Linked DNA regions of Callithrix jacchus. The protein of the gene in region 4 interacts with the protein of the main gene of each other region in a pairwise test. Links are inferred from orthologs where the notes say so. Each region holds a gene or a part of one and is shown on either strand. Other genes may lie near its edges.

What was found.
Region 1: the proteins of NUPR1 (region 4) and MPHOSPH6 interact in a two-hybrid assay, tested with the Homo sapiens proteins (2 studies listed by BioGRID and IntAct). The link is inferred for Callithrix jacchus from reciprocal best matches to the Homo sapiens genes NUPR1 and MPHOSPH6.
Region 2: the proteins of NUPR1 (region 4) and FUS interact in a two-hybrid assay, tested with the Homo sapiens proteins (2 studies listed by BioGRID and IntAct). The link is inferred for Callithrix jacchus from reciprocal best matches to the Homo sapiens genes NUPR1 and FUS.
Region 3: the proteins of NUPR1 (region 4) and RAN interact in a two-hybrid assay, tested with the Homo sapiens proteins (2 studies listed by BioGRID and IntAct). The link is inferred for Callithrix jacchus from reciprocal best matches to the Homo sapiens genes NUPR1 and RAN.

What each region holds. Positions count from the first base shown.
Region 1 is NC_133521.1:39,717,329-39,724,982, forward strand, and holds the start of MPHOSPH6 (M-phase phosphoprotein 6), read right to left. Parts: upstream 5,113-7,654; 5' UTR 5,074-5,112; coding exon 5,023-5,073; exon of another isoform or gene 4,779-5,022; intron 3,670-4,778; exon of another isoform or gene 2,910-3,669; coding exon of another isoform or gene 2,907-2,909; intron 1-2,906. UniProt on the Homo sapiens protein: RNA-binding protein that associates with the RNA exosome complex. Involved in the 3'-processing of the 7S pre-RNA to the mature 5.8S rRNA and play a role in recruiting the RNA exosome complex to pre-rRNA; this function may include C1D.
Region 2 is NC_133513.1:30,696,592-30,703,569, forward strand, and holds part of FUS (RNA-binding protein FUS), read left to right. Parts: intron 1-700; coding exon 701-725; intron 726-816; coding exon 817-971; intron 972-2,467; coding exon 2,468-2,612; intron 2,613-2,811; coding exon 2,812-3,011; intron 3,012-3,201; exon of another isoform or gene 3,202-3,320; intron 3,321-3,350; coding exon 3,351-3,579; intron 3,580-5,184; coding exon 5,185-5,219; intron 5,220-6,706; coding exon 6,707-6,739; intron 6,740-6,978. UniProt on the Homo sapiens protein: DNA/RNA-binding protein that plays a role in various cellular processes such as transcription regulation, RNA splicing, RNA transport, DNA repair and damage response. Binds to ssRNA containing the consensus sequence 5'-AGGUAA-3'.
Region 3 is NC_133510.1:134,086,385-134,093,947, reverse strand, and holds RAN (GTP-binding nuclear protein Ran), read right to left. Parts: upstream 5,144-7,563; 5' UTR 5,113-5,143; intron 4,652-5,112; 5' UTR 4,642-4,651; coding exon 4,606-4,641; intron 4,426-4,605; coding exon 4,341-4,425; intron 4,259-4,340; coding exon 4,133-4,258; intron 2,680-4,132; coding exon 2,492-2,679; intron 1,952-2,491; coding exon 1,781-1,951; intron 1,683-1,780; coding exon 1,638-1,682; 3' UTR 1,289-1,637; downstream 1-1,288. UniProt on the Homo sapiens protein: GTPase involved in nucleocytoplasmic transport, participating both to the import and the export from the nucleus of proteins and RNAs. Switches between a cytoplasmic GDP- and a nuclear GTP-bound state by nucleotide exchange and GTP hydrolysis.
Region 4 is NC_133513.1:29,262,088-29,268,839, reverse strand, and holds NUPR1 (nuclear protein 1), read left to right. Parts: upstream 1-2,493; 5' UTR 2,494-2,570; coding exon 2,571-2,682; intron 2,683-3,345; coding exon 3,346-3,482; 3' UTR 3,483-3,495; intron 3,496-3,839; 3' UTR 3,840-4,136; downstream 4,137-6,752. UniProt on the Homo sapiens protein: Transcription regulator that converts stress signals into a program of gene expression that empowers cells with resistance to the stress induced by a change in their microenvironment.

The DNA.
Region 1 (7,654 bases), on a different chromosome or scaffold from region 4:
ATTGAGAGTTGGGGCAAATGATCAAACGGTTTAGCTGTCCCCTTCCACCTTTACACTAGATGATGAGGGACTGTGTCGGGGCATGTGAAAATGCACAATGTATGCTTCCTTTGGAAAACTTAAGGGCTAAGACACCACATTCAAGGGTCTTCTCACCCACAGAGCCCACTGGCTTTTGCACCTGCTGATCTTGGGTTGAAATGCTCTTCCTATCCTCTTCCACCTGGCCAACTCCTCACCTGTCTGACATATGTAAACTTACGCCACTTCTGTAATGCCATCCCTGGCAGGTGCCAGTAAAATCAGTATCTCTGTCCTAAATGCTTTCACGTCTCTCTCCAACAGACTCACCACATCTTAACTTTTTGAGTGTCTATCTTTTCTGGAGACCTTTAGGACCGGGACTGTGTCTGAGTCATCTCCTTCATCTGTCCCAGAAAGGTGACTGAAGCACAGTAAGCGCCCGATAAATGTAGACAGAAGCAAAGGTGCATCTGTAAGTCTGCTCTTTTTTATTTGTCTTCTGAAATGCTGCTAAACTCTTCAGCTGCTCTTATTATCAAATCTGCAGAAACCTGACTCAAAATACGGCAGTAAATAACAGTCCTGCTGCTAGTCTCTCGCCAGCAGGAATATCTACTTTTCTTCTGGGAACAAGTGAACAAACTTAAGAGGCAAACCAGAACAAAATGATAAAATACCAACACTGGAGAAAATAAAATCAGAAAACACCCAGGAGCCTCCTAGCAGTTAGGTTTCAGCTTCCACTGGTTTCTATGTGCCCCCATTTATTTCCCTTATTCAGGCCCCATATTTCTTCTCTTTCTATTCCAGTTCTTCCAAAAAGAAACACAAGCCTTTTTAGGTATAAAGGCTTTAACAATGACTACTAAGTTAAATGGAAAAAACCTTAAGAACGTTCATGAATAAAACACAGTCATGTGCTGCAAAATGATGTTTGGTCAACGATGAAACCCATATATGATGGTGGTCCCCTAATATTGTAATACTGCATTTTTACTGTACCTTTTCTATGTCTAGATATGTTTAGATATACAAATACTTACCACCGTGTTACAACAGCCTACAGTATTCAGTATAGCAGCATGCTGTACAGGTTTGTTGCCCACGAACAACAGGCTGTGCCATACAGCCTAGGTATGTGGCAGGCTATCCCATCCAGGTTTGTGTACATCAACTCTATGATGCTCTCACAATGACGAAATCCCCTAACACTGCATTTTACAGAATGTATCCCTGTCAAGTAACACATGCCTGTGATAACATCAAGTGCTGATGAGAATGTGAAGAAACTGATCACTCATACATGGCTGCTGGAAAAGTCAATGGTACAGCCACTATGGAAAACACCTTGGCAGTTTCTTAGCAAACTAAACATACACTTAGCCATATGACCCAGCAACTGTCTGCACAAAGTGAGTGCATGCAAAATGGTGAAATCTGAGTAAGCTCACTGTCAATGTCCTGGCTCTTTATTGTCCTCTAGTGATATAAAATGTTGTTGCTGGGGGAGGTGGCATGAAGGATGCCCAAGATACCCCTGAACACTTTTTGCAACTCCCTGTGAATACATTACTATTTTAAATAAGAAAAGAAAACAAGTTTGTAGACTACTGTCTTGTAGTCCTTACCCATTTCACCTGTGTCTATATCCTCATTCTAGGAAAGAACTGCAGTTTCTGGAATGTACACATTATACTACCACGTCCTTTTGCCTTTGCTACTTAACAACATGTTTCCATTTTTTGCCTCACACAATATTTACTCTTGTAGGCCCACAGCATGTGTCCTCTAGTAAGACTTCCCCGATTGGCTCTTCCTAGGCCTGCTCCTATAAAGGAGCACCTTTCCAAGACAGCCTTATCAACACTGGATTATTATCCAGCATTGTGCTGCTTTGGTGTCTCCCAAGACTACGGTTCTGAATAGACCATGACTCTCGTTCATCTTGTACCATTGGTACTTAGGCTGCACCCCTGGGACACAAAAGAGCTCACCCAGTCAAGGTTCTCTGAATGTAAATGAACCTAGACTTGTCTTACTTTTCCAGACTCTCTTTCTGGGATGGTTTTCTTGAAACGCAGATGCCTCATTTAATCATTAATATTCCTCATGGTAAAACTCATCAGTATTGCCCAACTGCCCTTTTTTCTCCCATTTAGTCAGGTACCTATTCTTTGGGTATACAAAAGAGCCATAAACTTATGTTCTGTACATAGGGAAAGGATAGAACTCACTGTGAATATAAATCAAGCACCTCCAGACTTACGTAGAAGTTCAATTCTCTTACTCTAGAGCATTTCAGAACACATTCTAAAACTAGTGAGGACTCAGAGCAGACATCAGCACAATACAGTCCTCAGGCTGGATGTCTGTCGTTGTCGATAAAGTTTTACTGGTACACAGCCATGGTCATTTGGTCTGAACAACAATGGCAGAGCTGAGTAGTTGTAACAGAGATTGCCTGGCTCATAAGCCCAAAATATTTATTATATGGTCCTTTGCAGAAAGTTTGCCAAGCCCTGTTCTAAGAGTCTAATAGTGCTAAAATCACAAATAAGCACCCTCTCTACAACCATTCCATACTGACAGACCTTCTATCCACATCCTCCTTTTTCTGCTTCCCATCAGGATCACCCCTCAATGGCTTACCAAGTCAGAAGCATTCAAGTGAGTCAGGATTAAATCCTCAACCCTCATACTTGCCATAAAAAGTGGTTCCCAACCTTTTTGGCACCAGGGATTGGTTTCCTGGAAGACAATTTTTCCATGGGTGGGGTGGGGAGGGGGGGACAAATGGTTTAGGGATGATTCAAGTGCATTACATTTATTGTGCACTTTGTTTCTAATATTGTAATATGTAACGAAATAATTATACAACTCACCATAATGTAGAATCAGTAGAAGCCCTGAGCTGGTTTTCCTGCAACTGGGACAGTCCCATCTGGGGGTGATGGGAGACAGTGATAGACCATCAGGCATTAGGTTCTCCTAAGTAGCGTGCAAGGTAGGTGGCTCGTATGTGCAGTTCACAGTAGGGTTTGTGTTCCTAGGAGAATCTAATGCTGCCACTGATCTGACAGGAGGCAGAGCTCAGGTGGTAATGCAAGCTGTGGAGAGCAACTGTAAATGCAGATGAAGCTTCCCTCACTTGCTTGGCTGCCTGCCACTCACCTCCTGCTGTGTGGCTCAGTCCTAACAGGCCTGGACTGGTACTGGTCCATGGCCCAGAGGTTGGAGACTCATGCTATATAGGACTTAGCTCTGGCTATGGCACTCAAGTGCAGCTGCTCCATGCCTTTTCACAGTATACTCTGTTCAGTTAGTACAGGTAGTGTCTCCTGCTATCTTGCCAGTAAGTTCTTTCTTATCGATGACCAAAAGCTTCTAAAACAAATAGAGAACTTGGGTGATCTTCTTCTCTCTCCTTTGCTTCCAATGTTCAGTTGGGTCTCCCCACTTGGTGGGGGTGGACACTTATTTTAAGTTAATGTCCTCCTTTTTAGTTGCAACTCAGATCTTTAGTTTGAGCCTGAGTCACGTAGTACATCATCTGGCTTATTCCAAGAGCTAAAACAATTGCTAATCTTTTCAGTATCTGCTTGGCCAATTCACTCCACTTCTCTGAAATTAATGTTATTACAAATCCTAAAATCAAAAGCAAACTCTGTTCAGTAAAGATTCAAATTTTGCTATTATCCATGAAAGTGCTTGACAAACTATAAGTTATGCTACAATTTATCCTCATTCACCCATTCATTGTTTACTCTCTAATCTTTCTCGTTTTGAGACAGGGTCTCCCTCTGTGACCCAGGCTGGAGTGCAGTGGCACCATCTCAGCTCACTGTAGCCTCGATCTCCCAGGCTCAAGCAATCCTCCTACCTCAGCCTCCCAAGTAGCTGGGACTACAGGTGCATGCCACCACGCCTGGTTAATATTTTGTATTTTTTGTAGAGATGGGGTTTCACCACGTTACCCAGGCTGGTATCAAACTCCTGGGCTTAAGCGATTTGCCTACCTCAGCCTCCCAAAGTGCTGGTATTACAGACATGAGTCACTGCGAATGGGCTCTCTCTCCAATCTTTCAAAACACTATGAATAGCTTCCTTCCCTTTTTTTTGGAAATTCCACCTCTTTAAACATGACATGTAACAGTTTGCTACTCTCTATTAGTAGTGCTCAGTGAGAGGCATTAGAGTAGTAATAAAGAGCCAGGGTTCTGGAGCTAGACTGAGTTCCATCCCGTCTGCACTACTTATTAGCTGTGTAACTTTGGGTAAGTTACTTACTTCCGTTTCGGTTGCCTTAGTTGCAAAAATAGAGTTACTGCCTGTAGTAACCTCAAAGTGTCATTTTGTGAACTGCATAGGTTAATATATGCAAAACACTTAAAACATTATAGAGTACCCCAAAAATGTAAATATTTGCTATTTTTGAGCTTTCCATTGCTCACAAAATAAAGGAAAATATCCTTAATCAGGCCTAAAATTCCCTGCACGTTGTGACCATGGCCTACTCTGCAACCTCATTTCTTAGTATTTGCCTTCCAAACATACGGAATTATCTCTAGTTCCTGGAAATCTCCATGCTTTTCTTTTTCCTTCTTGCCTCTGGGACTTCTGAACTCAGTTTCTCGTACTTTAAGACGCTGTGCCTCCCACCCTCCCAGTAACCTAAAGGGACCACGACTCCGCGAGTTCAGTGAGTTCCCAGGGTCCCCGGCGCTTCTACCCTCACTGAACTTGGTGAACTGTACCTTGACTGCTGCTTATGTGTATATAAGCTCCGATCCGCCCGCGGGCCTCCCAAGAGAGTCAGCCTAATTCACAACCTGGTTCCCAGTAAACAGTGCAGAGCAGGCGCTAAGTGAATGAATGAGCACAAGAGCTGGAAGCCTTTGGGGCCTCTCTGGTGTCCCCCGTCCGCCCGCCGCCTCGGCCCAGGTCAAGTCGGAAGGACCGGGTGCCCCTACCGCCCGGCGTGGCTCAGCGTCCCCGCACCTTCATGCGTAGCAGATTCTTGGACAACTTTGACTTGCGCTCGGCCGCCATGGTGGCTCCCGCCCAGCGCCGCACTCGGCCGCGATCCTCACCGCACATGCGCGGAGCCGCGTGCGTAGCTGCGTCGCGTGTGTAACGTGCGACGCTCCTCCCCACCCCGCCCTGCCTCCCCGCCCGGTGTCTCGCGCGCGGGTGCGGCCCCTCTGTGGGCGTTCTGCCGACTGAAAGGCTCGGGTAAGCGCGTGGGGCAGTCGCGCGGGGATGAGCGCGGCAGATACTAAACAGGCCCAAGTCAGAGGAGGCCCCCCAGAGCCTTGCTGCCCCGAGCTGTGGGCCGCCCTCCCGGGACGTGGGCCTGGCCACCTCGAAGGCCTATCCTCCCTCGGGGACCCCCTTCCTCAGGCACCCCCTCCAGACTCAGTAGTCCTCGCCGGCACCATAGGTTCCCGCGATGCCTGCCACCCGCCCGGGCAGGGTTAACTACGTGTTTGTCTTCATAACGTGAGTGGCGGGAGGGGCCACGTCGTTTTCAGTAGGACCCCACGAGTTGCTCCCGTCCTCACAGCCGCCCGGAGTCCCGGGGGAACGCGGCCGGGGCCGCCCCAGGCAGTCTGGCTTCCGGTCCCCGCGCAGAGCCACCTTCCACCCGCCGGCCCCTGCGGGTGCGACTCTGGCTGAGGGATCTCCGCTAAACAGAAGAATTGCAAGAAGCAGCAAGAGATGGAGGCAGGGATGGGTGCCAAACACACGCGCATGAGAGGAAGGCCTGGTTTTGATGTAAAGAATTGAAAAGACCAGCCTGGGCAACACAGGGAGACCCCATCCCACCCAACCATAAATAAACAAATAACTGGGTGTGGTGTCTTGGACCTGTGGTCCCCGCTACTTGGGAGGCTGAGGCTGGAGAATTGCCGGAACTCGGGAGGTCGAGGCTGCAGTGAGCTGAAATCCCGCCACTGGACTCCAGTGTGGGCTACAGAGCGACATCCTGTCTCAAAAACAAAACAACAGAGCAAAAAAGAATTAAACACTGAAAATAGGGTAGCGTTCATACCCCGTTGTTTAATGCTCTGGGTACCACCTAAAGACATTTTCGAAAGCCATTCCCAGGTCGATGCTGTGGAACATCCGAAAGCTAGTAGCATCTCAGCTGACAAGCATGGGCTCTATGTCAGATTCTTGAGCTGGGCACTTAAGAGTAATTAGTTCACTTAATCTTCATAAGAGCGGGAAGAAGGTATCGTCATCGTGTTGTTAGGGATTCGAGACCGCGGGTGAGGGACTTGCTGGAATTCACACAGTTACTCCATATCAGAGATGAAATTCAGAAACCGATTGGGATGTTAAAAGCCCTTCAGGTTTTCCCAGGAATAAATAAAATGTTAATGTGCTAAGTAGCTATAGAATCTCATTCACTTGTGACTGTGTGTGAGATACTGGGACATAATACCGTGTAAAAGCGTATCCCCACTTTTCCGGAAGCTGGCATTCTGGACATAAATAAGTGATGAATGCTGTGAAAAAGAACAGTGACATGATAGAGTAAAGTTTAGGGCTACTCTAGACAAGGTGGCCCGGAACGGCCCTTGTCAGATGATGGTGCTAAGGCTTGAAAGTTGAGAAAAACCTGTTGTATGAAGAGTTGGAGGTAGAGCGTGCTCAGGAGACGGAGCAGCAACTGTTAAGTTCCCGAAATATGAACAAAACAAAGTCCCTGTTATAAGGTTTAACAGTGCAAACAGTGAAATTAATCATAAGCCACATTGCATCCCCTAAAATTCATACGTTGGAGTCCCAACTTCTAGTACCTCGGAATGTGAGTGTATTTGGAGATAGGGCCTTTAAAGATGTGATTAAGTTAAAACTCGACTCTTAGGGTGAGCCCTAATCCGGTCTGACTGACGTCCTCATAAGAAGAGGAAATTTGGGGCTGGGTGTAGTTGCTTACACCTGTGATCCCAGCACTTTGGGAGGCCGAGGTGGGCGGATCACCAGGCTGGTCAGGAGTTCCAGACCACCCTGGCCAACATGGTGAAACCCTGTCTACTAAAAATACAAAAAAATTAGCCAGGCGTGGTGGCGTGCACCTGTAATCCCAGCTACTAGGGAGACTTAGGAGAATCACGGGAACCCAGGAGGCGAGGCTGCAGTGAGTCGAGATCCTGCAGCTGCACTCCAGTATGGGCAACAGAGCAAGACTCCATCTCAAAACAAACAAACAAACAAAAAAACCAATAAAAGAAGAGGAAATTGGACACAAACACCCAGGTTGTGTTTGCATAAAAGAAAGGCTATCTGAAAGCCAAAAAAAAAAAAAAGCCTCTGGAGAAACCAAACCTACCAACACCTTGATCTTAGACTTCTAGCCTCCAGCACTGTGAGGAAATCACACCCAGTTTGTATAAGGCACCCAGTCTGTAGTGTTTTCTAACGGTAACCCTAGCAAACTAATGTACCATATAATTAGTTGTAGATGACAGTTTTGATGAGAGGCTGGTAAAGAAAGCATGAGGATCATGAAAGGGTACAGCAAGGGTACCTAAACCATTCTGGCCTGGAAAAAGGACTCTCCTAAATGTGGAGAGGAGTTAATCAGGGGAAAGGCCCACCAATCCTTCACATTGTTGTGCTA
Region 2 (6,978 bases), about 1.4 Mb from region 4:
CTGTGCCGGTTGGTAGTTCTGCGACTTCGGGCAAGTTAGTCTATTTTGACTCCTGGGGATAAGGCCTTTTTTATAGAATGGATGGAAGTACTGTGCAGTGTTTTAGGGCAACAGTCACTGACATGAATTGGGCTTGCAGAAAGTGGCTGTCCACCGAGACCTTGGTTTTCCCAATGGTTAAGGCTTTTGGGACTCTGTAGAAACTTGCATTTTCTTCTGTTTTCTTTTATTATGAGAACACTTGGCTGATATGCCAGCTTGCTCTTGTCTCATGGGGGAATTGTATGACCTTTTTTGCAACATGGTCCAATTTTTTTCTTTTGAGAGAGTCTCGCCCTGTTGCCCAGGCTGGAGTGCAATGGCGTGATCTCAGCTCCCTGCAACCTCTGCCTCCCAGGTTCATATGCGTCTCCTGCTTCAGCTTCCTCAGTCTGGGATTACAGACGTCCGCCACCATGCTTGGCTAATTTTTTGTATTTTTACGGATTTCACCATGTTGGTTAGGCTGGTCTTGAACTCCTCACCTCAAGTGATCTACCCACCTCGGCCTCCTAAAGTGCTGGAATTACAGGTGTGAACAACCTTGCCTGGCCAACGTGGTCCTGTTTACCCATCAGTGCTTGAGTTAAGGAATTTAGCTTTAATTCAACTCTTTCAGAGTGTTGGCTGAAGATAATGTGATTGTATTTTTCTTTTGCAGATTATACTCAACAAGCAACCCAAAGGTGAGTGCTATTTTTGCGTTTCCAAAGTTTGTAGAGGCCGACGGTGGTCAAGGCCTCTTTTTCTGATCACGCTGGTTTTACTTTTTTCCAGCTATGGGGCCTACCCCACCCAGCCGGGACAGGGCTATTCCCAGCAGAGCAGTCAGCCCTATGGACAGCAGAGTTACAGCGGTTACGGCCAGTCCACAGATACTTCAGGCTATGGCCAGGGCAGCTATGGTTCTTCTTACGGCCAGACCCAGAACAGTGAGTCTCTCTCAGCGAGTCATCTTTTCCTCTACTTTCTGAATGTTGTTTTTTTTCCTTTTTGAGACGAAGTCTCGCTGTGTCACCCAGGCTGGAGTGCAGCGGCGTGGTTTCTGCTCACTGCAACTTCTGCCTTCCTGGTTGAGGTGATTCTCGTTGAGCCCACCCTCCTGAGTAGCTGGGATTACAGGCGTGTGCTACCATACCTGGCTAATTTTTTTTTTTTTTTTGGTATCTTTAGTAAAGATAGGGTTTTGCCATGCTGGCCAGGCTGGTCTCTAACACTTGACGTCATGATCCACCTGCCTCAGCCTCCCAAAGTGATGGGATTACAGGTGTGAGCCACCGCATCCGGCTCTGAATACTGCTTTTGTTAAACCTGAGCAGCATGGAAATGTTGAAACTGTTCCATATTTCCTTTCCCTGAACCACTGTATAATTCTCAAAACTCTTGGGAGTCTGAGTTCTTTACAGGGCATTGTGGCAAACCTACAGTACTGAGGAAGGAGGATCCCTTGAGCCCCAGGAGTTTGGGGCTGCAGTGAGCTATGATTGTGCTTGAGAGTAGCCACTGCATTCTAGCCTGGGCAGTGTATTGAGGCCCTGTCTCAAAAACAAAAAAAGACAAAAATGTTTATTGGTTTGTAATTGTTTCCATTTATTTTATTTGGCTTTAAATTTTTTTGGTCCTCCTGTTTTTCATCTCAGCATGAAAGAGAGCATATTTTCTAAAGGAAGAAGAATGTTAGGCTGATTCTTTTTTTTTTTGAGATGGAGTTTCGCCGTTGTTACCCAGACTGGAGTGCAATGGCACGATCTTTGCTCACCGCAACCTCCGCCTTCTGGGTTAAAGCAATTCTCCTGCTTCAGCCTCCCGAGTAGCTGGGACTACAGGCATGCACCACCATGCCCAGCTAATTTTTGTGTTTTTAGTAGAGACGGGGTTTCACCTTGTTGACCAGGATGGTCTTGATCTCTTGACCTCGTGATCCACCCGCCTCGGCCTCCCAAAGTGCTGGGATTATAGGCGTGAGCCACCGTTCCTGGCAGGCTGATTCTTAAATTGAGAAAATGGTTTTGCTTGAAAATGTATAAAATCATATGATACCTAAGAAGGTGGGATTTGTCCCAAGGTCCTGAAGCATAACCAACGAATGTGGTTGTCCTGCAGAAACTGCACACATAGCTGCACATTGCAGTGCGGTTGCAAGGGATCCTTGGGCCTGGGATTAGAGGGTGTTTCTGGAGATGGTGTTGGGATTGGTGGGGTGAAATTGGAACTGTTCTAAAGAGTTGGTAGAAGTTGGAGCATTAACTTTAGGTTTTAGAAGGAGGGTGGTAACTTTTTGCCTGTGAGTTGCTAGATAACTAACGGCTTCTGAGAGGCTGACTTTTTGAGTATGGGTGAGTGTTAGGTTGTATATGTTTTCTTTAACCCATTCCATACATTTTCTCTTTGCTGTGGCTTTTGTGACTCCCTTTTTTTATCCTCATAGCAGGCTATGGCACTCAGTCAGCTCCCCAGGGATATGGCTCAACTGGTGGCTATGGCAGTAGCCAGAGCTCCCAATCATCTTACGGGCAGCAGTCCTCCTACCCTGGCTATGGTCAGCAGCCAGCTCCCAGCAGCACCTCGGGAAGGTACAGTGGTGTTGATGTCAGGGGAAGGCTTGAAGAGGGGTGAATTGATGAGGAATGATAAAGGGACCCAGGAGTAGGAGCAGCTTTGAGGTATAATTGGGGTGGGGGAACCTATGTTGGGTATAGAGAATGGAATACACTAAAAACAAAATTTGGGTATGCTGGGATTATGATTTTGTTTTTCATTTGTTTTCTTTAGTTACGGGAGCAGTTCTCAGAGCAGCAGCTATGGGCAGCCCCCGAGTGGCGGCTACGGCCAGCAATCTGGCTATGGTGGACAGCAGCAAGGCTACGGACAGCAGCAAAGCTCCTATAATCCGCCTCAGGGCTATGGACAGCAGAACCAGTACAACAGCAGCAGCAGCAGCAGCAGCGGTGGGGGTGGAGGTGGGGGTGGAGGTGAGATGTCCTCAGCTTTGCCAGCAGTTCCATTTTCTATAAGGATTTGTATTCTCCTGTTTGACTCTTAGCTTAAAGGGATTGCTTTCTTGTTCCCTATATGTCTTTTTAATTTATTTTGTCCTTTATTGCTTGGCACTTGTTGAACCTTTTTGTGTTACTTTACTTTTTTGTTTGTTTTTTTCCTTAAAACCTATAGCACCTGGTATTTCCAGGAGGTCTCCTATCCAAATGCTAACTAGGCCCGACCCTGCTTAGCTTCTGAGATCAGACGAGATTGGGTGCATTCAGGGTGGTATGGCCGTAGACTTTTTAAAACCATTCTTTCTTTTCTCACAGGTAGCTATGGCCAAGATCAGTCCTCCATGAGTAGTGGCAGCGGCGGCGGCAGTGGTGGTTATGGCAATCAAGACCAGAGTGGTGGAGGCAGTGGTGGCTATGGACAGCAAGACCGTGGAGGCCGTGGCAGGGGCGGTGGTGGTGGTGGTGGTGGTGGTTACAACCGCAACAGTGGTGGCTATGAACCCAGAGGTCGTGGAGGTGGCCGTGGAGGCAGAGGCGGCATGGGGTAGGTGTCTTATGAGCCAGGGAGTATCTTTGGTGGGGAGTGTGGAGGATTGCATGAATTTCCCTGAAGCCAGTCCCTAGTGCATGGTTTAGTATTCTTGTTGTCTAGGGATCTGTGAGGGCTTTGATTTGGGGTCAGTGACTGTTTTTACATCCCCATTTTATTTTTGTGAGAACTTGGGAGCTGAAACTCCCATCCATACCACTAAATAGAGATTTTGAGTATTGATACTTGTTTCCAAAGAGAAAGAAATCATACATAGATATGTATGGATTGGAGTCATTGATATCCTAGGCAAGAAACACGGAAGTGAAGACTTCTTTCTCTGCAAGGGAAACCGATGATCCCACTCCTGGGAAATAGTAGGGAAACTTGGTATGTGTATGCCCATGTGTCCTCTAGGGAGTTGGTAATGATTAACCTGACTTCAGCTTCTAGGAATTGGCTACTCTTCCTGTTTTCTGTAGTCATTTGAATCCACGAGCTTGATTTGCGCTAATTTGACAGTGATTTTGTGTGTGACTTGGTTTGTGGGGCCATCCGACTGAAGTGTACAGACCTTTTGGGCAAAAATATGCTTGACGGTGGTCTCCCAACTATTTGTTCCACTGTCTGCCTTCCCCTGGTTACTTAAAAATCATCAATTTGTCCAACTGGACATTCTTTCCTTCCTGCTGAAGTTGATTTGAGTAAAACCTTAGATTTGATGTTAAAACAGCCGTCAAATCTGTTGGTAAATATGATTTGAAGGACCTTACCCTGTCTCCCTTGAAAAAGGGGAGGAGTGTCAGTGTTACTGTTTTTGGAAAAAGTAGATTTTTAAAACAAGTTGGGATATGGTAAGTATGCAGAGGTGGGTGGGGGCAATCTCAAAAACGTACAAAAATAAGGAAAACTCTGTTGTGTGCGTGTGTTTAATGCAAAACTTTAAAAAGAAAAACAACTGTTATGTGACTGTTAACTTGCTCTGCATTTTATGTGCCACAGGTATGAAAGGTGACATTGCAAAATACTCCGCTCTTCTCGCAGTGTAGAAGGGGTGACCCCGGGGGTTGGGGGAGATCAAAAACAGCTCAGTAGTTAGGACAGGGCTTAGCTAAGTTTGTCTTGCTTTAAGGGGAAATTGCTTTTGGTTTTGACTTTTTATGGAATGGGGTTGGGTCTGCTTGCTGCTTTCAAAGCAAAAACCACAAAAATGTGTTCAGGGCTACCCCAGCCTGGTGTGAAATGTCTTCTGGGTAAATTGGGGTAGGGTTTTTAAACCAACTACTTGGTTGTCAACCACTTGCGACAAGAGGAAAAAAAACATCTGCTCCATCGGAAGAACGACCGAGGAAAATGGGTCATTTTTTTTCCAGAGGAAATAGATATATAACCTTTTAAAGCAAAATCTTTATAAACTGTGTCTGAGAAATTGCACACGTGTGTGTGACACGCTCAAAGGTCAGACAAGGGGTGGTCAGGAAGGGATGTATTTTAGTAGTCACTTGTATCTTTTTCCAAAAACACCTACCCATGTTTGGGGAATGTTAAACAAAATCAAAAAAACACCCTTTTGTAGCCGTTGGAAGCTTCATGTCCTTTCTTCTAACTTGTCTTCTCCAGCGGAAGTGACCGTGGTGGCTTCAATAAATTTGGTGGTAAGTGAACAGAGTTTCCAAAATTCCCAACTCCCAGCAATGCTTTGTCTGATTGTTCATTTGCAGATGTCTTAGCGTGTTAATTTAAGTGCAAAGGTATTGAGGTGTCCAGAACCACCTCCAAAAAGGGGTAGGGTAGAATGCCACCTGTTGCCTGGTGTGTGCTAACCTGGAGCAGGCAGGGGTAAGACTCATTAGTCATCTTTTACCAAATGGGTTTGCCCCCCGGTTAATAAGAGGGGTCTAGTTAGGCCTGGGACGGGTGTTGTCACACCTGGCACTTAGTGACCACCATCATGAGAAACTGGAGAGAGTGTGCTGGAACACGTGGTGCCAACTTGGCTTTAGGACCCTTTTGATCATTGTGTCCAAGGCTTGCGTGTGTGGGAGTGTGTGTGGGAGACAACCTCCAAATGTTTTAATTCTGGAAGAGGGATGTGACATTGCCCTGCCCTGAGGATGGTGAAGTTGGTATACATGTATAAAGTACGAAATGGTGTCAATGATTGCAATTCTCTGTATGTGGATTTAACTCAGATGGGCAAATAGAAACTAGCTCTGGGAAGGAACATGTGCACTACTTCAAGAAAGTTTGGAAGCATGTGTGGCTCATGGGAAATAACCAGGTCTTAAACAGCACAAACTGAATTCATGGACCAGGAAGGTCTTAAAACAGCACACACTGAATTCATGGAAAAATGACAAATTTGAGAAGTCTCCCAGTAAGCTGGAACTTTTCTGGTTTGGTTAACTAACAAAAGGTTTCTTGATTTGTCTCAACATTTAAAGCCAAAGGCTTGGGTTCATGACACTTATGTCATTGCGTGTGGGTACAATATTTATATATGGCGAATTCAGATAAACATTGGTCAAAGATGGTCTCTGGAAAAACAAAATAGAGGCTGCATTACGGAAATAAGATTTCTGGTCTGTTCCCTGGGACATGCTTAAAAAATACAATAGCTATTATGTGTGGTTTTTATTTTCATGTGGTTTTGGGGAAACAACATGGTTTTAAGAATGGTTTCTAAAGATGAAATTAAAAATTGTTCCACAAGGGATAAGTGTCTTTGGTGGTAAAGTTGGGAGAAACTGGATCGCATGGCTCGTGGTGAGCCCATCTCTCTTGGGTGAGAGAACCGGGCCAAGCTGAGTTGGTTTGTTCACTTTAATGGGTCTCCTTTCCCCTGCTGTCTGTGCTGAGGACATTTCCCAGCCTGAGCTGGGGGAGGCAGCATTTTCTGAAGTGTGGAGTTGTCTCTGTGGAGACTCAAGTTACAGATCTTAAGGGGCCTACCTAGAATTTTCTCCTCTGGGCAGGTGACCCAGGAAAGGGGTTTGGAGTGAGGCTGTGAGCACTTACATGATATTTTGCTAATTTGGATTTGGTGTTAATTTTTTTCCTTGTTCGTTTTTTCCTGTTGACTAACGGCTCCCCTTTCCTTGTTTTTGTTTTTGTTTTGTTCTTTTTTTCCATGTCACTTAAGGCCCTCGGGACCAAGGATCACGTCATGACTCCGGTGAGTTCACAGGTGGCATGAATAGAGTAGCTAAAGTGGATCAAGGCTGGATATTCTTTGAAATGTTATTAAAAGGAAACTGAAAAAATGAGGGTAGAAAGGGAGTTACGTGTATCCTTAGCAGTAAGAAGTAATCATGAAGTATTTCTCAGAAATACCTGGCTTTGTGGGTTCCACCCCCCACGATTTAGGAGGTCTGAGATGACCCAGAAAATCTGCTCAACAAGTCCCCAGTGATG
Region 3 (7,563 bases), on a different chromosome or scaffold from region 4:
TACACAGAAGATCCAGAATGTCAACACCACTTGCATTCTACACAAGGTTACAAACAACACATACACCTTAAGTTCAAAATATCTGAATGAAAGCTTTCATCCCAGTTATGGGAAAAAACTTCCCATCTCACACAGGCTGGTTAGAAGCTGGTTCTGAATAGTGTCACAAACACAGCAATTAAGATCTTAAGACACTCGAGGTCTGTTGCCAGTTAATACAGTAAGTAGAACGTGATTCAGCTTCACCTTTTTCGTTTTTCCATATATTTAAGTGATCCTTTCTACACCTTTTAAAGTAGGAAAGTAATCATCTCCAGATAATCAGACATCTAAAGAAAACTTTGGTTAACTGGACTGTAGTAGTAACTGAGGAAAAAATAGCTCTTATTTTTAAGATTCCTAACTTCTACAAGAATAGCATTGATGGGATCGAACTCCTAATCAGGATAGACCTAATTCATTTTAAATGTGGAAAATATACAAGATAAATTAAATGTTTAGTCTGATAAAAAAGTTTCACAGCTGTTCTCTGCCACTGAGACGCCCCCCCCACCCCGCCCCGCCCCACCCCACCCCTGCTCCACTGTGCCACGTTCCTAGTATTCCATCCATGCCCTGCTCCGCTGCGCTGCCCTACAAATCCTCAGGGCAAAAAAAAAAACCCCAAAAAGTATAGTGTGTGTACTGCTTAAGAACTGAATGTTAAGACATCTTGAAAGCCCGGGAGTACCTGAAAACTGGGTAAACACGGACCATTTTCCTTGAGTATCAAGTTAACACTAAGCATCTGACATTCAAACAGAAAGTGCAAAATTTATACTTTTTAACACCAAGAATTCCCAAGCTCCCGCCATCCAGACATTCCATCCTGTTTGAAGTTATCAAAACATTACTTTTGCCACAAAACAAAACCAAGTATTACCCTTAAAATATCTATTTGGTATGTACAAACCACATTTTTGTCGACAGGTCACAAATCTTGAGCAGGTTCCTCCCAAGAGGGCCCTACCTACCCTAAATGAAGGTGGAACAGACATCGCTTTACTTCACCTGCACAGTCTTTACACCGTTTAACTCTCCTAACCAAACAGTCTGTCGACCTGTCATGCTGAGTTTGTGAGACACAGCTCAAATGTACAAAAATAAAAAGTAGACATAGGAAGAAATTAACCTAACAGATTTCAAATTAAGGACAGCAAGGCAATCCAAACATTAACATGGCATAAATATCTCTATTTTAGTGGCTTCAAAATGCTATTTTTAAACAAGGGATGAGTTCACTTGCTTAGATATTTGAAATACAACTTTATTCTGATTCTAAACGAAAAGGAATGGGAATGACAGTAACAAACAAGATTTCACCACTGAATATTGTGATGTGACTGCAGCAGTCTCATATCTGAAACTCAAGGAATCAACTGCGTTCCGAACAGCTAAATATGCAAGTCCAAACAATGAAGGTGTATTTTAAACTGCCATTCACTCCGAAGCCCACTCATCTCCTTCAGCATCCCACAGATGAAGCACATGTTCCGCTTAGCTAGATAATAATGAGGTGGCACACACGCTGCACCGCTGACATCACAGGACAGCTGCCTATAAAACTAGACTTCTGACGCTGGGCTCCTGCTTCATTCTCACAGGTCATCATCCTCATCCGGGAGAGCAGTTGTTTGAGCAACCTAGATGAAGAGAGGAACACTGTTAACACTCCAGCTCAAAACTGCCAGGAATACACAAGCCAAACACAACAGCCTGGACAGCAAAGTGGCCACAATACCTCTAAGTCGTGCTCATATTGCGCTGCCAAAGCTGGGTCCATGACAACCTCCGGTGGGGCAAGAGCAGGCATGGCAACAAATTCCAAATTAGGGTCTCCAATGAGCTTCCTAGCAAGCCAGAGGAAGGGCTTTTCAAAGTTGTAGTTACTTTTGGCAGAAATGTCGTAGTACTGTTTAAAAAAGTAAAAATTAGTTTTTAAAGTTGATTTTCCCAGAACATTCCAAAATAAGAAAAAGATTCTTGGTGGGGCATGGTAGCTCATGCCTGTAATCCCAGCACTTTGGGGGGGATGAGGTAGCAGGATTGCCTGAGGCCCGGAGTACAAGATCAGGCCTGGACAAGAGCAAGACCCCATCTCTACAAATAATAAATTAGGTGGGCGTGGTGGTGAGTGCTCGTGGTCCTAGCTACTCGGAAGGCTGTGGGAGGACTGCCTGAGCCAGGAGTTCAAGGCTGCAGTGAGCTATGTTCATGCCACTGCACTCCTGCCTTGGCAACAGGGCAAGACCCTGTCTTAACAAGAGACACACACACTTCAGTTGACCAACCCTGACAACAGTGAAACCCCATCTCTATCAGTCTTTAAAAACAATAAAAATAGCATAAAAATAAAATTATTTCCATATATAATATAGACTGGTCAATTTCATGGTCTTACGTATCATCTCCTCTAAGAGAAATAACTCAGGAAGTTTTAATTTTCACACACCTGAAGATTCTTCTTTCGGTGGAAGACAATGGATTTTGCCTTCACTTTCCTGTCCTTAATGTCCACTTTGTTGCCACATAACACGATGGGGATGTTCTCACACACTCGCACCAGATCTCTATGCCAGTTAGGCACGTTCTTGTAAGTAACTCTGGATGTTACATCGAACATTATGATGGCACACTGGGCTGAAAGGAACATTTGTGGTAGTTAGTACACTTAGTTTACTACACACATGAAGAATGCCAAGAACCAGTCTAGGATTCATCTGGTCTTAGACCTCACCGAGTCTCCTAGCTTTCTCCCTTCACTTCCAATTCTAAAAATGTCAATTCGCAATTTCTAAAAATGTTAATTCACAATTCTTCCTAAGCAAGATGAGCTGACCCCGTCAAACCTCCCTGATACACTTCATCATTAACAGTACCCTCATCCCAAAAAGTATCTCGGGTAGATTAATGATAAGTGAGATTCTGCAGAACCGAGCTGCCATATTCTGAGGGTAAGGGGCCTGCAAACACCTTCTTCAGAAGGTCTTTCAATGGCATGGCTGACTATACCAGGAAATATTCCTGTCTTAAATCCAGACAGGCCAAGCGATGTGGCTCATGCCTGTAATCCCAGCACTTTGAGAGGCCGAGGTGGGTGATCACCTGAGCTCATGAGTTCGAGATCAGCATGGGCAACATGATGAATCCCCATCTCTACAAAAAATAAAAATAAAAATAAATAAAATACAAAAATTGGTCAGGTATAGTGGCCTGTGCCTGTAGTCCCAACTACTCAGGAGGCTGAAGTGGGAGGACAGCTTGGCTCAGGAGGCAGAAGCTGCAGTGAACTGAGATCACACCACTGCACTCTGGGCTGGGCCACATAGAGACCCTGTTTCAAAAAATAATAACAAACCCAAATAAAGTCTATATATTCACCTGCAGGGCCAGCTATGGCATAGTTGATAAAGCAAGAATCCACAACTTTTTGGTTAAAAGATTTTTGGGGGGAAATTCTTGTGTTTATTTGTACATACTAAAGGAAAACAAAAGGCATGGAATGATTCCAAATAATTTGTTATCAGCAAAGTGAGGATCCAGGAGAGATGAGTATTTCCTTTACTCCTCTTTTTGGTATAATGAACGTCTTCCTTGCAATTTTAAAAATCAATCTATTTGAGAAAAATACTCTCCGCAACTTAGTACAAACAATGTAACAAGAAATCACCTAGTCTTGCATAACACTTGCTAAGATCCCTATCTTCCCTGGTGTTTTTTAATGGAGTACAAACAATCATTGATCACTACGTCTAAATTCATACCTGAGCCTGTTTTCATATACTGAACTGCTCTAACAGCCTGTCTGTGATTGTTTTAAACTATGACATGTACCCAGTGTAAGTCACAGTTTCTTCTAAACCATGCCTAGCATGACACAGCATGCAAATAACACAACTTGCATAAAATGTTCTCCTCTGCCACCAAAATGGTGGTCAGCTCCCCGAAGCTCACGTTTTTTAACCCAAAAATGACACAGTTCCCCTAACAGTATTAAGCACTGTTTGCCGGAACCGGCCTGATTTTCTATAACCTTGAAGGATGCAGTACACAAAAGCTCTCAGCAACGGTTCAGCAAGTCACGGATGCTTACCTTGGATATAGTAGCCATCTCTCAGTCCGCCGAATTTCTCCTGGCCGGCCGTGTCCCACACATTGAACTTAATAGGTCCTCTGTTAGTGTGGAACACCAGGGGATGAACCTCAACACCCAAGGTGGCTGCGACGGAAGCGATGCCAGTGAGTGGGCGCATTGACCCGTTTCCCACCCGTGTCCGCGAACAAGGTGCTCCCGCACATACCTACATACTTCTTCTCAAATTCACCAGTCAGATGACGTTTCACGAAGGTCGTTTTTCCGGTACCACCGTCACCAACCAATACAAGCTGTTGGAGAACACATTTTGGAAGTAAACCCAGAACACTTCACCTCTCCGGATCCCAGAGTCCGCCACGCCAAGAACGCGGACGCGGGGCCCGGCTAACAGCCATCGTGGGCCCGGGAGGAGGGACCGCGAGGCGCACGCGGGCCGGCCCGGCCGCCGCCCGCCCCGCAGGGTTACCTACTTTAAACTGGACCTGGGGCTCTCCCTGCGCAGCCATCGCGGCGTTCCTGCGGAGGCAGAGGACGGAGACGAGCGCTCGCGCGGCCCCGCAGCCCATGGCGGCCCCGCTCCCGCGCCCCCCGCGCCCCACGTGCCCGCCCCACAAAGGCCTCCCGCCCGCGGCGCCATGGCGGCCGGGCCTGGGAGCGGGAAGGCGGCGGGCGGGGCCGGCATCCGGGGCAGCGGGACCCAAGGAACGACGGACGGGGGGGCCGGGATGGAGACGAGACTGGGACCGGGAGCGGGATGGGAGCGCGGGATGGAACCGGGATTCGCGGGGGCGGGCGCCGACCCCACGCCCGTTTCTTCCCCCGGCCCGGCCCGGCCCGCGCCACCCACCTACTCACAGCCGCTCGCTGCCCCGGGGCCGGCCACCAGCCCGGGCCCTGACCCCGGCCGCGGCCCCTGTCCCGCCGCCACGGCCCCTGTCCCCCCCACCCCGGCCCTGCCCGGCCAGCCGCGTCGTTACCTTCCAGAAGCGTCTCCGCGCCCGTCCGACTGAGGCTGGAAAGATGGCGGAAGCGCAATTCAAACGCCTGAGACGCAGCCGACGCCGGCGCGCGGCAGGGGCGGGGCAGGCGCGGGGCGGGGCTGACAAGGGGCGGAGCAACGGTCCGGTGCCCGCCCACGTGGACCGCGCGTGCGCGCACGCACGCAACCCGGCTCGGTGGAGCGCAGGGTGGGGCGGTAGGCGCGGTGGACCGCGTGGGAGGACGAGGCGGGAGCGCGCACGCACGCCGACCCGCGGGCCCCATGTGCGCCAACACTCAGGGCGGGCTCCCGGGCACGCATGCGCCACTGGTGAGGCGGCGCGCTCCTGGCCGGGAGATGCTGGGCGCGGCGGGACAGGCGCGGCCCTGCGGCCTCCCCGGCGGGAGGCGGGATTCGCTCGGGCAGACGCGGTCAGGCACGCGGCTTCCAGGCGCTGGCCAGCCTGTCGTTGTCTGCGCCCCGTGGAGTGAGGGTACTTGGGGTCTTTGGGGCATAGGCCGGCGCAGGACCGGTAGGTGACAGAACGAATGAATGAATGAATGGGTCCTAGGCCGGTCCCCCAGGGTCAGCCCGCGCCTTTGTCTCCCCAGAGCTTAGCCTTCACGCCCCCAGGCCCAGGGACAGTTGGAGAGCGAGGCATCAGAGAGGGATGCGCCCACCCAGAAACACGGGTGCTTATTTCTTTTGAGACGGAGTCCCGCTGTATGGCCCAGGCTGGTCTGGAACTGCCAGGCTCACGCAGTCTTCCCGTCTCGGCCTCCGAGTAGCTGGGACTACAAGCGCGCGCTACATCCGGGCTGATTTTGTTTGTCTTAATTGAGACACAGGATCTCACTGTGTCTCCCAGTCTGGCCTCAAGGGATCCGCCCTCTTCGGCGTCCCAAGGCGCTGGGATTGCAGATGCAGTCACCGCGCCCGGCCATAGCACCCCTTCTCGGAGCGTTTCATAGGTCGGCAGCCATGGCGGCCGCATCCTACAAACAAAACGATGAAATTTCGTTTGCGGTGTGGGCGGGTCTTCCAGCCGTAGTTACCCTCGGGGGCGGAATGAGGAAGTGCCCAAGCTCCCGGCCCCCTGTGGAGCTGAAGCTGTGAAGAGCCTAGGCCAGGTTGAGCTAGAGGGACCCCGACCCACGGGTCCTTCCTGGGCGCCCCTGCTGACATGCAGACAGATAAAGGCCCAAATCAGCGCAGTCAAGCACCTCAGAAAAGAGTTCCCCGTGGGGAAAGAGCCCCAGGGACCCAGGGGTCCGCCCAGCAGTCACGAGCACACTTGCAGGCGAGTCCGCTGGGAACCCCAGTGACGCAAAGTGCGCACAAGGCGCGCGAGAACCGGCCAGCTGGAAACGCAAGTCCAGGGACCCTCGGGAACGCCAGCCACCTCTCAGACGCTGCTGGTGGGAGAGCAGAATCTAACAGCAAAACGGGAATGCCCGCTGCTTGTGACCCTGGATTTCCGTTTCTAGGGAGAGGCCCTGAAGGGAAACTCATGCCTCATGCATGTGCACAGCATTTAATGCTGTAGAACATTGGAAAGATGGTCATCTGTTTGAACAGGTTAGATAGATGTCAAAAGGATAATGTTGAGAAAAGAAGTGATCATATCTTTATAAAGTCTAGGTCACCTGTAATCTCAGCACTCTAGGAGCCTGAGGTAGGAGATCCCTCAAACCCAGAAGTTCCAGGCTGCAGTGAGCAATGACCGCACCGTTGCATTCCAGCCTGGGAGACAGACCAAGACCCTGTCTTCAAAAATTAATACATAGACCAGGTGCGGTGGCTCACGCCTGTAATCCCAGCACTTTGGGAGGCTGAGGTGGGCAGGTCACCTGAGGTCAGGAGTTCGAGACTAGCCTGGCTAACATGGTGAAACCCCGTTTCTACTAAAAATACAAAAAATTAGCCAGGCGTGGTGGCGTGCGCCTGTAATCCCAGCTACTTGGGAGGCTGAGGCAGGAGAATGGCTTGAACCTGGGAGGCGGAGGTTGCAATGGGCTGAGATTGCACCACTGCACTCCAGTTTGGACAACAAGAGCAAAACTGTCTCAAAAAAAAAAAAAAAGAATATGTAAAGCCTAACACTGTATGTAATTTTGCCTAGAGGGAATATATACACACACATTATATTTATAGCATAATGCCATTTAGGTAATATTTTTACAAATACACAGAACAAAAGCATGTTGGTTATTGGATATATGTATTTTATTTTTTAATTGACTGCAAGGATCCGTACACCATATCCTGATGGTTATTCCTTCAGGAAAGGGTAGAAAGGAGTGATGGCACTGAGCAGAGGAGTCAAACAAGACTTTACCTGCAATGTTCTATTTTTTTTCTTCTTGTTTTTTGAGACAGTTTCACTTTGTTGGTCAGGCTGGAGTGCAGGGGCGCGATCTGGGCCCTCCACAACCTCCGCCTCCCAGGT
Region 4 (6,752 bases):
TGTGATCATGGCTCACTGCACCCTTGACCTCCTGGGTTGAGGCCATCCTTCTGCCTTGGCTTCCCAAAGTACTGGAATGACAGGCATGAGTGACCACACCTGGACTCTTAATTTTTTTTTTTTTTTTTTGAGATGGAGTTTTGCTCTTGTTGCCCAGGCTGGAGTGCAATGGCGCAGTCTCAGCTCACTGCAACCTCTGCCTCCTGAGTTTAAGTGATTAGGAGAATCACTGCCTCAGTCTCCCGAGTAGCTGGGATTACAGACACGCACCGCCACACCTGGCTAATTTTGTATTTTTAGTGGAGATGGGGTTTCTCCATGTTGACCTGACCTCAGGTGATCCGCCCATCTCAGCCTCCCAAAGTGCTGGGATTATAGGCGCAACCCACCACACTGGGCCCTATATATATTTTTTAAGACAGGGTGTTTCAGGCTGGGCGCAGTGGCTCATGCCTGTAATCCCAGAACTTTTGGAGGCTGAGGAGGGCAGATCACAAGGTCAGAAGATCGAGACCAGCCTGGCCAAGATGATGAAACCCTGTCTCTACTAAAAATACAAAAATTAGCTGGGCGTGGTGGTACATGCCTCTCGGGAGGCTGAGGCAGGAAAATCGCTTGATCCCGGGAGGTAGAGGTTGCAGTAAGCCAACATCATACCACTGCATTCTAGCCTGTACTATAGAGGAAGACTCCATCTCAAAAACAAAAAACAAAAAACAAAAGAAAACAAAAAACAGGGTCTTGCTCTATTGCCAAAGCTGGTCTTAAACTCCTAGCCTCAAGCCATCCTCCCACCTTACCCTCCCAGAGCCCTGGAATCACAGGCATGAGCTACCATGCTAGGCCAATCTTTGCTTAATTTAAGGTTATTTTCCTCTTTCTCTTATCACCTGGTCTGTTATATCACCGCAGCTCTGTTTTCATTCAATATCCTGTCTTCACTTTCATTTCCTGGGTGTTAAGGAACTCACCCATCACCCAAATCTGGGAAAACAAAGACTAAATTCAATTCTGGCTCAGGCAAGGGAGAAACACAAGCAGAAGTTCAGCTTCTTGTGTTTTTATTTTTGTTTTGAGACACAGTCTCGTTCTGTCACTGAGGCTGGAGTGCAGTGGCTCAATCTTGGCTCACTGCAACCTCCGCCTCCTGAGTTCAAGCGATTCTCCTACCTCAGCCTCCCAAGTAGCTGGGAGTACAGGCACTTGCCACCACACCTGGCTAATTTTTGTATTTTTAGTAGAGAAGGGATTTCACCATGTTAGCCAGGCTGGTCTCGAACTCCTGACCTCAGGTGATCTGCCTGCCTCGGCCTCCCAAAGTGCTGGTGCTCGGACTACAGGCATGAGCTTGGCCTCATTATGTCTTCTGTTTCAGTATATCCATATTTTGAAATACGTATTATTTTATTATAATTTGTTTTTGAGACAGGGTCTCGCTCTGTCACCAGGCACTGTGGCAAGTGTCTTTTAAACATTATCTTCATTTGATCCTCTCCCCAACTCTAGGAAGAAGATACAATTATTATCGTTCTTGTTTTACAGAATTGGAAACCAAGGCACAGAGAGGTGAAGGGACTCACCCAACGTCACACGGAAAGTGGTGGGTCCGAGGTTTGAACTGAGGGCATCTGGCTCCAGACCCTGAACTCTCCAACCGTCTGCCACCCTCCTCTGAGGTGAGGAAGATTACATTACTGGGGACCATGTTTCAGGATATTAAGGGGTTTTCCAAGACGTTTCTCAGGAAAAAAAAGCGGGGGCTGTGGCTCACACCTGTAATCCCAGGACTTTGGGAGGCCGAGGTGGGTGAGGTTGTCTTGAGGTTTCAGAAGTTTGAGACCGGCCTGGCCAACATACCCCATCTCTACTAAAAATACAAAAATTGGCCAGGTGTGGTGGCAGGTGCCTGTAATCCAGCTACTCGGGAGGCTGATGCAGGAGAATCGCTTGAATCCCGGGAGGAGGAGGTTGCAGTGAGCTGAGACTGCGCCACTGCACTACAGTCTGGGTGACAGACTTCGTCTCAAAAAAAAAGAAGAAGAAGAAGAAAAACAAAATGTTGAGTGTGACTGGATGGAAGCTGCCAACTTGCCCCGGCACAGGGTGTGCTCCCCTTCCTTCCTCACGTCCTGCGTCTCAGCAAGAATTCTGGTGCTGGGGTTAGCTGTGTGGCCATCACCCCAGGCCCAGGTGAAGCCCTCAATCAGATGAGGCCATGATCCCAAGGAGTGTTTAAGCCCAGATCCTGCCTCTTCCCTGCTCCCTGCCGAGAGGCGGGACCTCCATATGGAAAATATCCAACTGGGTGAGCCTGGAAGGGAGGAGGCAGAGTGGGGCTGGACTCAGGGACCAACTCTTCCCCTCTCGTGACTGTGTTTACTGGCTGGATTCCGGCAAGGAGCCAGATTGCATCAGACAGGGCCTGATGGGCTGGAGCCAGACTGGTCTGAGAAGGAGACACAGCCTTATAAGCTGAGGGAGTGGACTGGGAGTGGAGAGGCACAGGCGCAGGAAAGCAGAGACAGATAAAGCATTAAGAGAAGAGAGGCAGGGAAGACAAGCCAGGCACGATGGCCAGCTTCCCTCCAGCAGCCAGTGCCCCCCAGCAGCCCCCAGCCCCAGAGGACGAGGACCCCAGCCTGGATGAATCTGACCTCTACAGCCTGGCCCATTCCTACCTGGGTAAGGCCCACTTGGCCATCTCCACGGTCCTTCCTCCTCTCCCGAAATCAGGACCCCTCCGTGGACTTCCCACGTCCCTTTGCCCTTCCTCTCTTCCTCTCTTTCTTCTTTCTCTCTCTCCTCACTCTATCTCCTCACTCTTTCTTTCTTTTTTTTGAGAGTCTCACTCTGTCAGCCAGGCTGGAGTGCAGTGATGTGATCACAACTCACTGCAGCCTCGAACTCCTGGGCTCATGTGATCCTCCTGCTTCAATCTCCCAAGTACCTGGAACTTCAGGTGTGCACCACCTGTAGTGGGGAGATGGGGTCTCACTGTGTTGCCCAGGCTGATCTCGAACTGCCGGGCTCAAGCAATTCTCCTGCCTTGGCCTCCCAAAGCGCTGAGATTACAGGAGTGAGTCACCACGCCCAGCCCACTCACCCTTTTCTAGCAAGCTGTTCCTTCGATCCTCAGGTCACCCCTCTCTAGTCCCTCATCCCCGGAGTGCTGTCTTACTCAGCCTGGGACCTCACACATATCCGGGGAAGCAACATCCCACATTTCACAGAGGGGAAGCTTCCCCCTGCTCGCTCCATCCCCGCAACCCTGAATCCCTGCCTCTCTTCCGAGGCCTCTCATCCTGCCTCTGCCCATTTCACCTCTAAATCCTGCCTTGGTGACAGGAGGCGGAGGCCGGAAAGGTCGCTCCAAGAGAGAAGCTGCTGCCAACACCAACCGCCCCAGCCCTGGCGGGCACGAGAGGAAGCTGGTGACCAAGCTGCAGAATTCAGAGAGGAAGAAGCGAGGGGCACGGCGCTGAGACAGAGCTGGAGGTAAGGAGTCCGGAGACCCAGAGAGCCCAAGGCGGTGCCTCTGCCATAAAGGACAGGCCAGAATGTGTGTGGTTGGGTGTGAAGGAGGGATCAGACAGATTGTTGTCTCAATGCAGAATAAAATGAGACGATGCAGAATAAAATGTTTGGCTGTGAGTTTCCTAGTGGCCAGAGCAAAGGGGGAACACAGAACCTTTCCAATTGAAGGGAAATTTAATTTACAGAGACAGAAACTGAGGCCAAAGAGGGTGGGTCCTTCCCTGAAGTCACACATTGAGTGGAAGAGGCAGAATTAGAACCCAGGTCTCTGTCCCTTTCACCACTTGCTTTTCCTCACCCCCCAGATGAGGCCAGACCACGGACACTACACCCAGCAACGGAGACGGGACTGTGGAGGAAGGAGGACCCGGGACAGGATCCAGGCCAGCTTGCCACACCCCACACCCCTAGGACTTACCCTGCTGACTGAGTCTCTAAGGGGCTACCAGGAAAGCACCTCCAACCCCAGAAAAAGTGCAAGATGGGGATTGAGATGCAAGGAAGGGAGGGGCAGAGCCAGGAAGATACCCCAGAAAAGAAAGCTACAGAAGAAACTGGGGCTTCTCCAGGGTGGCAGCAACAATAAATAGATGAGCACAGCAGCCACAGCTTTGGTGTGTGTTTTGCTCGGGCACGTGCGAGCCTGCCTGTACCTGCACATGCATGAACGCGGGAGAGCCTCTGGGATGTGTGTCTGTATTTGGTGTATCTGGGGCAGGGAGTGTTCTTGCTTTTGGAGGAGTCTATGCTGTGACTGTGGCTTTTGGTTTGTTTACGCGTGCATATATTTTAGTGCATACATTTCTGTGGGCTCCTACATAGTGGAAAAGAATTTCTTCTGCTTTTTTGTGATACTGCCCATGAACATGGCTCTCCCCAGCACCTGTCTGTTTTTGTTGATTACGTCCTGTTCATAGAAAACCATCTTTTTCAATCTGAAAAAAAAAAAAGACAAAAGAAAAAAATAATAATTAAAACAAACAAACAAAAAAAAAAAAACACTTTTTGAGGCCAGGCATGGTGGCTCATGCCTGTAATCCCAGCACTTTAGGAGGCCGAGGAGGGCAGATCCTCTGAGGTCAGGAGTTTGAGACCAGCCTGGCCAACGTGGAGAAACCCTGTCTCTACTAAAAATACAAAATTAGCTGGGTGGTGTAGTGGTGCGTGCCTGTAATCCCAGATAGTCAGGAGGCTGAGGCAGGGGAATTACTTGAACCCTGGAGGTGGAGGTTGTGGTGAGCTGGGATTACGCCATTGCACTCTAGCCTGGGCAACAAGAGTGAACTCTGTCTCAAAATAATAATAATAATAATAATATCCTGCTGAACACTCTAGAGAGAAAGAAAAAATAATAAACAGAAGACCACTTTTGAAGGGAATGCTACTTATGGATGCCATCTATAAGATGGAGAAAACTGAGATTTAAAATATTAAAGGCCAGGAGCAGTGGCTCATGCCTGTAATCACCGCACTTTAGGAGGCTGAGGTGGGAGGATCACTTGAGCCCAGGAGTTCGAGACCAGCGTGGGCATCATAGTGAGACCCCCATCTCTATCAATTTTTTTTTTTAAAGAGAGAGTCTCGCTCTGTTGCTCAGGCCAGAGTGTAGTGGTGCCATCTTGGCTTACTGCAACCTCTGCCTCCTGGGTTCAAGCAATTCTTGTGCCTCAGCCCCCTGAGTAGCTGGGACTACAGGTGAGCACCACCACACCCAGCTAATTTTTGTATTTTTAGTAGAGATGGGGTTTCACCATGTTGTCCCGGCTGGCCTCAAACTGTCCCCCTCAGCCTCCAAGCCTTTGGGAGGCCAAGGAGGGAGGATTGCTTGAGGCCAGCCGGGGCAATATAGCAAGACCCTGTTTCTACAAAAAATTTAAAAATTAGCGAAGCGTGGTGGCTCACTCCTGTAGTCCTAGCTGCTAAGAGGCTGAAGTGGGAGGATCCCTTGAACCCAGGAGTTGGCAGGTGCAGTGATGCATGATGGTGCCACTGCACTCCAGCATGAGCAACAGAGTGAAAACATGTCTTGAAAAAGAGAGAGAGGGAAGAAGGAAGGAAGGAAGGAAGAAAGAAAGAAAAGAGAGCAAGAAGGAAGGGAGGGAGGGACAGAGGCAGGGAGGGAGGGAGGGAACTATTAAGGGATTTGGCCTAGCTCACTCAGGGCTCCTATTCAAGGCTCTTACTGTTTTCAACTTCTCTTCTAGTTCTGGGAGGTGAGATGGGGAGGGAGATTCTTATCCAGTGCTATGTCTCAGGACCAGCGTTGAAGAAGAATATGGGGCAAACAAGAAGCACGATTGGAGCTGAGATCATGTATTGATTGAGATACAGGCTTGGGTTGCTGTTATGAAGAATCAAACAAAACAAGATAGAAAGTTATTCCTCTCTTACTCAGCCCCAAGTCCTCCTGGGCTCAAATAGCAGCTCCATTGTATTAAGGATTCCAGCTACTTTTACGAATTGTTTTGCCACATTCAAAACATGGCTTCCACTTTGAGGCCTAAAATAGCGGCTCCAGTACCTGCCATCGAATCTGCATCTCAGCCTGTGGAAAGAGAGTGTGAAAGAGACAGAGGAGGCCACATCTCTTCAGGTTTTTTTTGTTTTTTTTTTTTTGAGATAGAATTTTGCTCTTGTTGCCCAGGCTGGAGTGCAACATTGCAATCTCAGTTCACTACAACCTCCACTTCCCAAGTTCAAGCAATTCTCCTACCTCAGCCTCCCAAGTAGCTGGAATTACAGGCATCCACCACCACGCCCAGCTAATTTTGTATTTTTAGTAGAGACAGGGTTTCTCCATGTTGGTCAGGCTGGTCTCACTCCCGACCTCAGGTGATCCGCCTGCCTCAGCCTCTCAAAGTACTGACATGATTATAGGCATGAGCCACTGCGCCCAGCTGACACCTCTTCAATTTGAGGGCATAACCAAAAAGTAGAACGTATCACATCTGCTTGGAATGTGGTTACACGGCCACACCCAACTACAAGAGAAGTTGGGAAATGTAGCATTTAGCTGCTTAGCCATGTGGAAGCCAAAACTTGGGCAAGAAGGTAACTGGAAACATTGACCACATGCAGACTCAGCAGATGTCGGGGGAGAAAACTCTGAGATTGGGGCCCGGGCAGAACCTGTTTCCTTTTCTCCTGTCCCTTTCATACAAGCCCCACACTGTAGAACTTGGAGTCAGTGGTTCTTGGGGACCCAAGGACATCCACAG